Linked DNA regions of Danio rerio. The main gene of each other region encodes a partner of the protein of the gene in region 3 in a complex. Links are inferred from orthologs where the notes say so. Each region holds a gene or a part of one and is shown on either strand. Other genes may lie near its edges.

Region 1 (3,758 bases), about 6.2 Mb from region 3:
TTACTTTCCATCTCCTGCATGCGTCTTATTTCTGTTGCAGGACGCCCCCTAGTGCACGATTTCTCCATCCTCATGGTTTTGAAGTACAAATGGAAACATGGTTTTTCAGAAAATAAAAACTGTTATCTTTAATTGTGTGCAGGCTGTTTAGCAGAGACACGGCTTCTCCATTGACGTATTCAGACGAGCAGACAGGAGGATCATTTCAATGACCAAATCCCAGTTCAAATAACAAAAAGATCAGCACAGTTGAACATAATACAGGGAACCAGCACAACCGGGAGAGATCTACTACAGCAAAGATCTTTTAATGGTCCCAAATATACTGAACAACTAAGAGTGTACACAAGTAAAAGAAAAGAAAAAAAAATGAAGATATGACAGAAATCAATCACATCTATAGAGTTCCACTCAATCTTTAATCAAGACGGGCTTACAAATTTTCCAAAAAATCTGCAGTTTTGAAGGGCAAAAAAAGGGTAAAACTATCTCCCCCCCACTGAGGTTTTAAAAACCTGTTCAAGTGCGGCTGAAAACGTCCTGAACATTTAAAGGCAGGTCTCTTTGTGTCATTTTAAAAAAACCAGAGAGGAGAACAACAGAATAAGAAAAAGGAGGGAACTGCTGGCTTTGAAAGAGGAAGAACTTCCGCTGAGCCACAAGAACAACAGTGACATCTTAAACAATGACGACCCAGACTTCTTTGCTCCCTATAGTGTCCCGCCTGGCCCTAGAAAGTCAAAAACAAGGGGGAAAAAAAACAACAGAAAAAAAAGCTGGAGGAAGGAGAGAAAGAAATGGAGATGGAGATCAGCAAAGGTGAGTGGTGGTTGTGGATTGGCTGGCCCAGTTCGGGTCATGTGAGGTCCTTCCCTGAGAGGGGGGGGCAGTGTGTCCTGGTCCAGGCCTGGGACGCTCTGTGGGGCAACAGTTCGAGTGTCTGTGAGTGAACGACTGACTGACGGACTGCGTGTGAGGTCTGTTTTACCCCCCAGAACTTTTAGCTTTGTCGAAATTAATTTCTTATTTTATTATAATTCTTTGTCCAGACCACAGTCCTCCATCCCTCTGTCCGCTTCACGAGTCTCTCTCTCTCTCTCTTGCAGATTGGCACTTGGACAAACTCCACGTGGAGACATTCACCTTTTGGTTCTGGGACCGAATCTTCTCCCTCTCTTGCTCTCCCTGTCCTCCGTTCCTCACATGGCGCCCCGTGGACTCCTGCGGGGGGCTGCATTCGTTCATTTATCCATTCATTTGTGTATTCATCATCATTCATTTAGTTTCAGTTTGAGTTCTAGGCTGAGCACTGGAAAAGTCTCTGGATGAAGCTCCCTTCGAGCGTGACTGTGCTGATTGAGGAGGGAGTGCTTTTAGGAGCTCAGCTTGGACTTCTTGGACAGCGGAGGACTTTCTTCTTTACTGTCTGCATCTTCCTCATCCTCGTCCTCTTCGTCATCATCAGGATAGTCCACCAGCCCCACTAAACCTCCCTGGAGGAGGACAAGCATGCAGTTAGAAATGAGTGTAAAAAGAGACAGTGGTGAGGAGTAGAGCTGCACGATATTGGACAAAAACATGACATTGCAATATTTAGTTTGTCTGCAATCTATGGTGCGATATGAATGCAATTTCACAAGATGACAAAACTATTTGGAACAAATTCATCATTTTACAGTAATTGGGATAATTTTGTAGAGGAGGATCTGCATAAAATACAATACAATTGAACTTGATGGGTTTCTGTGAAATGAAGAGAGTGTTGAGGTACAGAAATTTAATAATAAAATATAAAACAACACTGTATAGTCTTCATTGTATAATTCATTCATTTATGTTTATATACCTTTATAACCTCTTAGTTTAAGTTTGCTTAAATCTTACACGGGCATCAGTCTTACAAACGCATCCAACTGAAAATCTTTCACTAATGTTATGTGGTTAAACTTTGCGATGACCCCACAAATTAAACGTTCTGAACTGACTACTGCAGATTCACACATTGTGATAAAAATGCTGAAACGATATATTATGCACCCCTTAATGAGAAGTAACTAAGCATCAAGCATCTGATACGGTAGTTGAGACTATTTTTTGTTATGAGCCATATGATACAAATCTGAATATTACTAGACATAAATAAAAAGTTCAATAGGCATCTACTGTGACAGCATCAGAGCAGAAGTCATTAATATTGAGCACCATTCTAAACATGGAGCTTTTTATTCTAGGGATGTATTGTGGGGTAAATAAATGAGCATACAACTGGAGACTGGAGAAATGCTCACCCACTGACAAATCAGCTGATTCTTCTCAGTTAACATCTCGAAATGGTTTCCAAATCACACTTAAAGAGTCTTTGATGAACGGGACTGATCTGACTGTGTATGTTCTTGAGGCAACATTTACTAATTCAAATTGATGATTTATTATTGAAATAACTTTAAGCAACTACTGTTAGTTGTCTGCAAACTAATTGAGATTGTGATATGGTCACAATATGGGTGTACATTATTTACAGCCTATGATAATGTCATACTTGTTGTTTTAAACGTGTGAGCTGGCATTATCAATATCGTAACTCTCTTGGGAAAAGAACTCATCCAAAAAGGGTTTTTCACTGCATGCTTTTGTACTTTCACTTAAGTGAAATTGAAAGAGTGTAATTGATACTTTTACTGGATTATTATTTTATTAAGTATTGGATAATATGCTTCAAGCCAATTCAAGGAATAAGCTGATGTGGCATCATTATAGACAAAATTAGGCCTAAACAGAGTTCAATTGAAACTCAAAAAAAAAAAAAGTTTTCCAAAGAAAATGTTTTGAAAATATATCCTTTTTGGGACACCTACCAACTACCAATGCTCAGTGGAGATTGTATAGCAGGTAGGAGACTCTCAGTATTCTGTGAATTTTTCTCTGGTTCATTTCCTGTTCACAAACATTGAATAGCCGATTTACAGTAGAAAAAAAAACAACACTAACATTAACACTGGTTTAAAACTCAATCTACAGTTTAAAGTGCCATTTAAAGACACATGATGTGAGTGGACTAGACTGCAAAATTGAACATCAATATCAGCTGCTTTCTTAAGTTCTGTCATTTTTGTTTATTGGGAGGAAAAGGTGGAGCACATATTTACATAATCATTTAATACGGGATGTTTGCTAACAGAATATCACTGCTCATGTACTGCAAACCTCTTTTTATCTTTGGGGTCTTAAAAGGCCTATACCAATAGGGTGCCCAAGTCAGGGTTCTTGCATCTGTTCCAAAGTCAAATCTTAGAACTTTTCAAGCTTTTGCAGGTGCATTTTAAAACTTTTCCTAAACTTTGCCTGCAGTACACACACATTTTCTGCAAGTTTTCATTTTATGCAAAAGCAAAAAGGCTTATTTTATTTAAATAGTTAATAATTATTACATATTTAGTAAAATACAATATTGCAAAAGCAATTACATTTTTTAAGCAGTTTTAAGCACTTTATCCAAAATCTAAGCACTTTTTAAACCTTTAAAAAAACAGTAGATTAAAATTCAAGCAATTCCAGCACCTGTTAGAACCCTGCCAAATACTTTGTCTTACAATAGTAAAAAAGGAAACAACTAGAATTTTAAAGCACTTTCAATTCTTGTTAAATACCTTAGTGGTGACAGCTGCCGAAGGGGGAGAGCTCCGGGCCCCTGTCCCGGGAGAGCTAGGAGAACCAGGTGAACCGGGATGAAGGGATGCAGTCGGCGGAGAGGACAGGCT
Region 2 (3,658 bases), on a different chromosome or scaffold from region 3:
TGTTGTCTGGAAACACATCTGCATTTACAGAGAGGTAAGGAAAGTATATGAAGCCTAAGATAGTCATTTTAAAAAATATATGCTCTATATATTGCACTGTATATTTCAGGAAAGTGAACGGTCCAGGAACACCCAGACCATTAAACAGACAGAAACACTCCATGTCCAGTTCGCTGGCCACAAATGGCCTTCCGGACAGTACTGAAAACAAAGACACAAACACACCCCAGGGACACAGCAAAACGACCAGGTAGACATCATATTTCAGCTCATCTTTCATGCACTTTTCACCTGCATGGACCATGACACACTTTTGAGCTAGACTTTGTTGAAAGGATGAAAGGGATGGTAGGGGAACAGTGGGATGAAGAGGAAGTAAGAAGATAAACGGTGAATAGGTCGGTAGGTTGATGGAGCATCCTACAAAGATGCCCTGAGACTAATAGTGGGGGTACCGTCTCTGTAATGTTTTGGTAGAGTGATTGGACCCCCAAATTCAACCTAGGAGGGAAAAGAGGATCATAGGATTGTTAATGGGAAGTAAGGAAATAGAGGGAAGGAGGGAGGGTGGGTTCAGAAAAACCAGAAGAACAGTGCTAGAGCTGGGTTTTTTAATCTGTGGGTGGCACAAGACATTGAGGCATGCTCTTGAGTAAATAATGATGACAAGTTTTGTGTGTTCATTAGAGTGAATCTGATTAATGTTAGCTCCACATCTAACTGTCAGGCACCTGTAGAGTTTATGCATTAGAGTAAAATCTATACAAATATAATGGACCGGTTGCTTTTTAAAATGAATGACAGTGAATGAAAGTAATACCGATGAACCGTCAAACAAAATCAGCTGGATGCTCTTCTGGACCTTTCACTAACTTTAACGACACTACTGACTACATTTACATGGACATCTGTAATCTAGTTATTTGCCTTAATAGACGGTAATATAATTAAGGTGTTTGCGTAAAGTGCTTCAATGTAAGAGTTTCACTTTAAATCATGAACATTTCAGTCATGCCCCCATGACAAACTGGGGTATTAGACGTAAATAAGGAGTAAGGACTGGTGAGAGTGTTATGGAATTTAACCCTTAGATGCAGAAGCTATAAAATAGATATAGAAAAATAATGTAGTGCATCAAAGGGTTAATGATGCACGCCAAATGGAAAGAAAAAAACCTCAGCATTTTGCGATGTGTGTGTTTGTGTGCAGTCATTTACGGACCGCCACGTGTGTATCTTGTTAAAAATATGGCAAAGTCCTACATGACGGTAATAGTTTGATTGCAGTGTTTACTTCTGTATTTCCACTATTATATGCATACTCCATGTCTTGATTCTATTTCTATTTGGTTCAGTTACGAGTTTAGTCAGATTAAGGTGATCCTAAATCATTGTTTACATGGTAGACTCTTAATCGGAGTATTTTCTTAAGTGTATTAAAATCTATTAAAGTATTGGTGTCCATGTAAACAATGTTCAACTCAACCACACCGTCGGGGCTCTGCGAACTTGGTTTTGGGAAGCAGCATTTTCCGTATGTACGTACATCAAAAGCAAGTATGGTATGGCTCACACTTATTGACAGTGGAAGATGATTGATGGTTAGTCGTGTCAGGAATCCAACCATGTTGTCCTCAGAGAAACAGGCTCAGCCATCACACTGAATCAGTTGAGCTATACATTTATGTTTCAACGTGATTAATGCTACACACTTTAAATGCAGCAAGTAATATGTGAATGGTGTTTGCACGTGAATTATAATTTTGGAGGGGGTGTGCAAGTGAAATTGTCTAAATGTGGGGGGACGTGTGTCCTAAAACGTTGAAAACCTCTAAACTAGAGGTCTAGAGGTTAAGAAGAAGTGAGGTGTGGATCCACTGTTGAACCTTTGTTAACAAGTTAAATCCAGTGAGATAAAGTATTAAAGAGACAAATGAATCATTTCAAATAATCATCTTGTGTGTGTAATGTGCTGATAGTTTAATCAATAAACATGTTTTATCTTTTAACGTGGTAAATAATTAACTCTGCTGACCTTCAGCAAAAATAAATATATAGAAATGGCCATTTTTTTCATTCTTTTTGTTGCAGTGATGCATCTGCGTCAGGCATTGGTGGACCACTTGGCAGCTCTGTAAAAAACAAACACTTGGATGACGAGGAAGATGAGGGAATGGAGGAGGAGGAACACGAAGTTAAAAGACTCAAATTCAGCCAGGATGGCAACGAAGATGAGGAGGACGAAGATGATGTGGACGAGCAGGTTGTGGAGACCCCCAGATCCACACTGAGCAAAAGCCCCTCAGATAAGTCAGAGGACCCTGAATCACCGTCATCCATGTTGCAGGAAGGGAGTGAAGAAGAAGAGGAGGAAAGTAAACATGAAGGCTCGGCTGAAAACTCTGAAGACCAAGGTGGCATAGTTCAAATTATTTCTTGTTATAAATAGCTCATTATTCTTTCTATAATGCATTTCTTTTTCTTTTTTAACACAGAGCCTTCCAGCACACAACCCGAGTGTCCTGTGGCAGATTCCAGAGAGACGTTTACAGAGAGAGAGGTTCCCTGTGGTTCAGATGACTCTTCAGAAGAGCCCAGCGATATGGACCAATCAGAGCAGAGAGCACCAGCAGGCGTGGCCTCGAGCCCTGAGCTGAGAGAAGGAGAGGAGCCAAGTGAGGTCAGCAGCAGTAGCACTGACGACAATGCCTCTGGACCCACATCCAGCAGCAGTAGCATAGACTCTCCAACAGAGGGCGACACTGGGTCAGGGGCACTGGACTTGGAGAGCGCAGAGGAGCCCATGGAGCAAGACTAAGAGCCTGCACACTCCTACCCCAAACAACAATGTGCTTTTGTGGAGATTAAGACGACACACACACTCAAGTGGCCTTCCACAAAGGTCATCCCAAGCAACACCCAACCTACCGCCATGCGCCTTTCTGGTCGAGAGTCCACCTAACTTCTCCAAACTTCCCAAACGGACACTTTATGCAGATGTACATATGATTTTATTGCTGAAGTGAAGGTTTTAAGCTGTCTAAATTTCTTTCCTTAATTTGACGTCATGGGGTTTTTGCCAATCTGTTTCATCATAGGGACTCAAGTTTTTTAGGTGTCTTACTGTCATCAGCTAATTGCATAAATATCCATGGTTAAATACAAGTTTGTAAGAAGTCTCTTCCCCCTGCAAACCTTTAGTTTTATTTAACCTGGACTTTTTCTTTTAATATTTTAGTCTTGGTTCAAAAGGTCTAATCTATCCAGTCTTGTTCTAAAACGAGGACGTGTCTCCTTTGTGTATTAATATTTTAGGCACACAGTGTCAAGCATCAGGCCAGTGGAGTTTACCGCCTGAAGACGCATAAACTGGCCACTGTTCAAGTTACGTTCCAAGCAAATACAAGCCATAGCAATCTTTTGTTCTGTGAAATGATTCGAGCCTAGCGTAACACTTCTTTCCTTCTGCTCGTTTGTGTGTAACTGACGGGATGTAAACTTTCTTCGCTTTAGTGTAATCATGCGGTCTTTCCGCTGCATTGAAAGTGAGTGGTTTATGTCAGGTACATTTACCTCTTGTTCAGACTGATTTGATGATTCGCATTAATTTATAACAGCATTTCAATCTCCTATTTTATGAGAAGTTGTTTTCGTTGTTC
Region 3 (3,437 bases):
AAACTAACAAAATAGTAAAACATTAAAAATATTTTTTACAATAAAAATATTTCACAGAAATACTGTTTAACTTTTGTGAACAAAAAAATCTGTAGCGTGTAGCAGAAAGCTACTTATGTAATCGTTTTGTTATTATTGTTTTTGTTATTAGTTTGATAAATTTCCAGTGACATAAAAATGTTAAACATTTTCTTAAAGTTTTGTAATGGTCCGGTGCTTATCATCTCCACATTGCTGCTGTTTCTAGGGAAGGAGATGCGGAGGGCTAAACTAGCTCGCAGTCGTTCTCTCAGTGGCCATCCCACAACACCCAAGATGACAAACTCAGACAAAACCTTGTACGTAACAAAATCCCCTAAGCTTTCTTATGTTGCTACTGCAGTTGGTTCTTTGACCCATGACCTGTGACCCATCATCGCTAGTACTTCAACATTTACACTCACAATTTTTTCTTTAGAAAACTGAAAGATTCAGGAAGTTGCCCTGGATCAGGAAAGAGTCCTATGCTACCTTTAAATGGTAACTAATGAGATTGTTCTTCGTGAATTATATTGTTATATTATATTGTTGTTTACATGTACTTATGTACTTGTTTGCTTTCCAGATGATAACCTGCGACCCCACCACTTTAATGTTGCTTCTTCAATCTCCTCCACCCCATCGTCCTCGTCCATGCCTGTTCTGATCCGCAGCAACACCAGCAGCTCTGTGGATCACCGGAGTAACGGGAATAAAGACACACAGTCTAGGAAACTTTCTGTGTATGTTTCTCAAATTGACTGATAAACTCCCATTTTTAATCAGCCACTCCCCACCTAGCAAAATATCTCTGGCCCAGCTCTGACCCACACAATCAGCTTTTACTTGGCCCACATGCTGCAGTAAATTACGGTACATGACTGGACCAAGTCTGGCTTCCAGACAAGGGCCAAACATGGACCATATCTCAGCCAAATTAACAATCCCTAACCCTGAACTAGGCCAGATATGTTGGTGTGTCACGACTGCAATGAAATTGATAAATCCATAAAGCATTGCACTTTAGACATGCTATGGGCATGCTTTTTCTTGCAGAGACCTGATTGTTTTTTTGTTTTTTTTTAAAATAAGAATTTAAATGTGGGTCAAGATAGGCCAAACTCACATGGCCCACATATCAAATTATAACATCTGGGCCAAATACTACATTTGACATCTGGCCCAAATATTGTGTGCCGCCTTAAAGACGGTGCCTGACTGCTGTCAAACCTGGGCCATGTTTGGTCTGAATGCCTGCTGTGCCAGCTTTATGCTAAATCTCAGCCAGAATTCTTTGCTTCCTGGGTTATTATCTAAGTGCCGTATTCGGCTGTATACAACTCATTATTTCATTATTTAAAACATGCTGCACCTCACTCCAAGGATGCAAAGCATTTGCAAAATCTGCACACATTGTCAAATGAGTGTATCTATACAACAAGTACATCATTACTTCATATTTTAAACAATATTATATTTCTTATCTGAATCAAGTCATTATGCCTATAGTAAAAACAAAGGAACAGCTTATATAGCCTTGCAGAATTCCAATTGTAGTGTTCATAGATGTCATATAGATATTGAAACTGAGGGCAAACATGCTCCCTTTTGAGCCTACTGGATTATTAAGGCAACTGCCACAAGATATAATGTACATTTTTACATTTGACAGTTAAGTTCTATGGCTATTTAAGCAATCACGTGAATATACTGTGAATTTATTAATTACATACTATTGAGAGAAAACAAGAGGCATTTTACAGGTCAAAGTACTTTATTTATTATTATTATTTATTCATTTATCACAATGATTTTATTCTGTTCAGACACGTTTATATATATATATATATATATATATATATATATATATATATATATATATTTATATTATTTCATTGTGCGCATGCAGAGCTGAATCAAAACCTTACTTACACATTTTTTTGCATACAATTTTTTTCAACTTCCAGTGGCCCAAATATTTGAAGGTGTTCCTTTTAAATAAATTTATTTAGGCTTTTATCATTCTAGTTTAAGGTGAAAATTATAAAAAAATTTCAGTTTGTTTTACATACATTTCTATCTGTTCTGAATAATAATGAACATTTAAAGGATTTGGTGTTGGTTTAAGGGATCTATAATACATTTTTATAATTGTTTTGTACAATGTTTTGATTTATTTTCATTTCTTTTTTCTTAGCAATGCAATTTTGTTTTATTATGAACGGGTGTGATTCAGCAAGAGTGATCTTATGTTGTCTTTCTGTTTGTGTTCGACAGACAGCGGAAGTCGAATTCATTTGGAATGCAGTCTGGGAGAGAGTGATTACCACTTTGCCTTCTGACTTAAAGCCCCTTTTACAAGACTTTTCATTCTGCAGCAGCAGCACAGCAGTGTCCCTCCATTTTGATGTGTCCATTCTCTCTTCTATCCCAGAAAAGGCTTAAGATGTGCTGGGGCATCAATTAAGGTCTGCATTGATCCATCTCTGCCTTATTTCATACAAAAAAAACAATCAAAATCTCACACCATACATCATAAAATGAAACCGAGAGTTGAGGAGTAATTGAATGTATTTAATTTACTGCCTCATTATTTTGTTTCTTGTATTATAGCATGCTTTGCAAAATTCTCTGTTTTATATTTTTGAAGTGGCTAAGAGAAAAAGAAGCACTATGTATTTTTATGATTGAAGAGTTTTGGAACTCTCCATCCCATCCCACCAATGAGATTGTGCCTGGTGCCACCCAGCACCTGATTGATTAACGCCAACATCTTAGTACCCAATGAATAAAATTCATGTTGAATATGACGTGCTTTAATGACTTGCTTTTGAACTGGCTCTTTAAATACTGACAGCGCACATAGAAAAACAAGTTACTAGTTACACTTGACATTAAGTACACTATTCATTTAATTTCCTAGCAAACATTGGATTGTGACTATATTATGCTGCTACTTAATGTTAATTAAATCACAGTATAATGTTAATAACAGTTAAAAGGTTGATACTGATATTAATTGTTTTAAAACACTATTAATATTTGGTTATTCACGCAAAACAAATGGATGTAGGAGTGAGAACACCTGTATACACCATTGGTAGTTTCTCTAATTAGTTCTTAGTTGGGTCGACCACACGTCCAATGTAGAGGATGCATTTTGTGACCTCATGGTAGACAACAAAAATGAAGGGTCGGTTGAAAGTGAGCCTGGGAGGAAGAGGATTCATGAAGAGATTGCCGGAAGCTTCTGCCAGTGAGCCTCCAGACTCATCCACATCCACAGCCACCTTCTGTACCACCTGGAATCAAGCGCCATTGGTCAGTGCATTTTGTATTTATCATTATATTTATTTATTTTTAATTATGTCAACCATCATGGTAGAAAGAGTATGATTTTTTTTTTTTTCAGCAAGGAT

Evidence for each region.
Region 1: ppp4r4 (region 3) and smek1 share a complex: the UniProt entries of both Homo sapiens proteins name them as parts of the PP4 complex. The link is inferred for Danio rerio from reciprocal best matches to the Homo sapiens genes PPP4R4 and PPP4R3A.
Region 2: ppp4r4 (region 3) and ppp4r2b share a complex: the UniProt entries of both Homo sapiens proteins name them as parts of the PP4 complex. The link is inferred for Danio rerio from reciprocal best matches to the Homo sapiens genes PPP4R4 and PPP4R2.

The regions. Positions count from the first base shown.
Region 1 is NC_133195.1:36,334,426-36,338,183, forward strand, and holds the end of smek1 (serine/threonine-protein phosphatase 4 regulatory subunit 3), read right to left. Parts: coding exon 3,648-3,758; intron 1,494-3,647; coding exon 1,374-1,493; 3' UTR 102-1,373; downstream 1-101. UniProt on the Homo sapiens protein: Regulatory subunit of serine/threonine-protein phosphatase 4. May regulate the activity of PPP4C at centrosomal microtubule organizing centers.
Region 2 is NC_133181.1:46,726,451-46,730,108, forward strand, and holds part of ppp4r2b (serine/threonine-protein phosphatase 4 regulatory subunit 2-B), read left to right. Parts: coding exon 1-34; intron 35-109; coding exon 110-250; intron 251-2,090; coding exon 2,091-2,413; intron 2,414-2,494; coding exon 2,495-2,817; 3' UTR 2,818-3,658. UniProt on the Homo sapiens protein: Regulatory subunit of serine/threonine-protein phosphatase 4 (PP4). May regulate the activity of PPP4C at centrosomal microtubule organizing centers.
Region 3 is NC_133195.1:30,097,701-30,101,137, forward strand, and holds the end of ppp4r4 (serine/threonine-protein phosphatase 4 regulatory subunit 4), read left to right. Parts: intron 1-247; coding exon 248-338; intron 339-457; coding exon 458-519; intron 520-604; coding exon 605-761; intron 762-2,160; exon of another isoform or gene 2,161-2,295; coding exon 2,296-2,341; 3' UTR 2,342-2,828; downstream 2,829-3,437. UniProt on the Homo sapiens protein: Putative regulatory subunit of serine/threonine-protein phosphatase 4.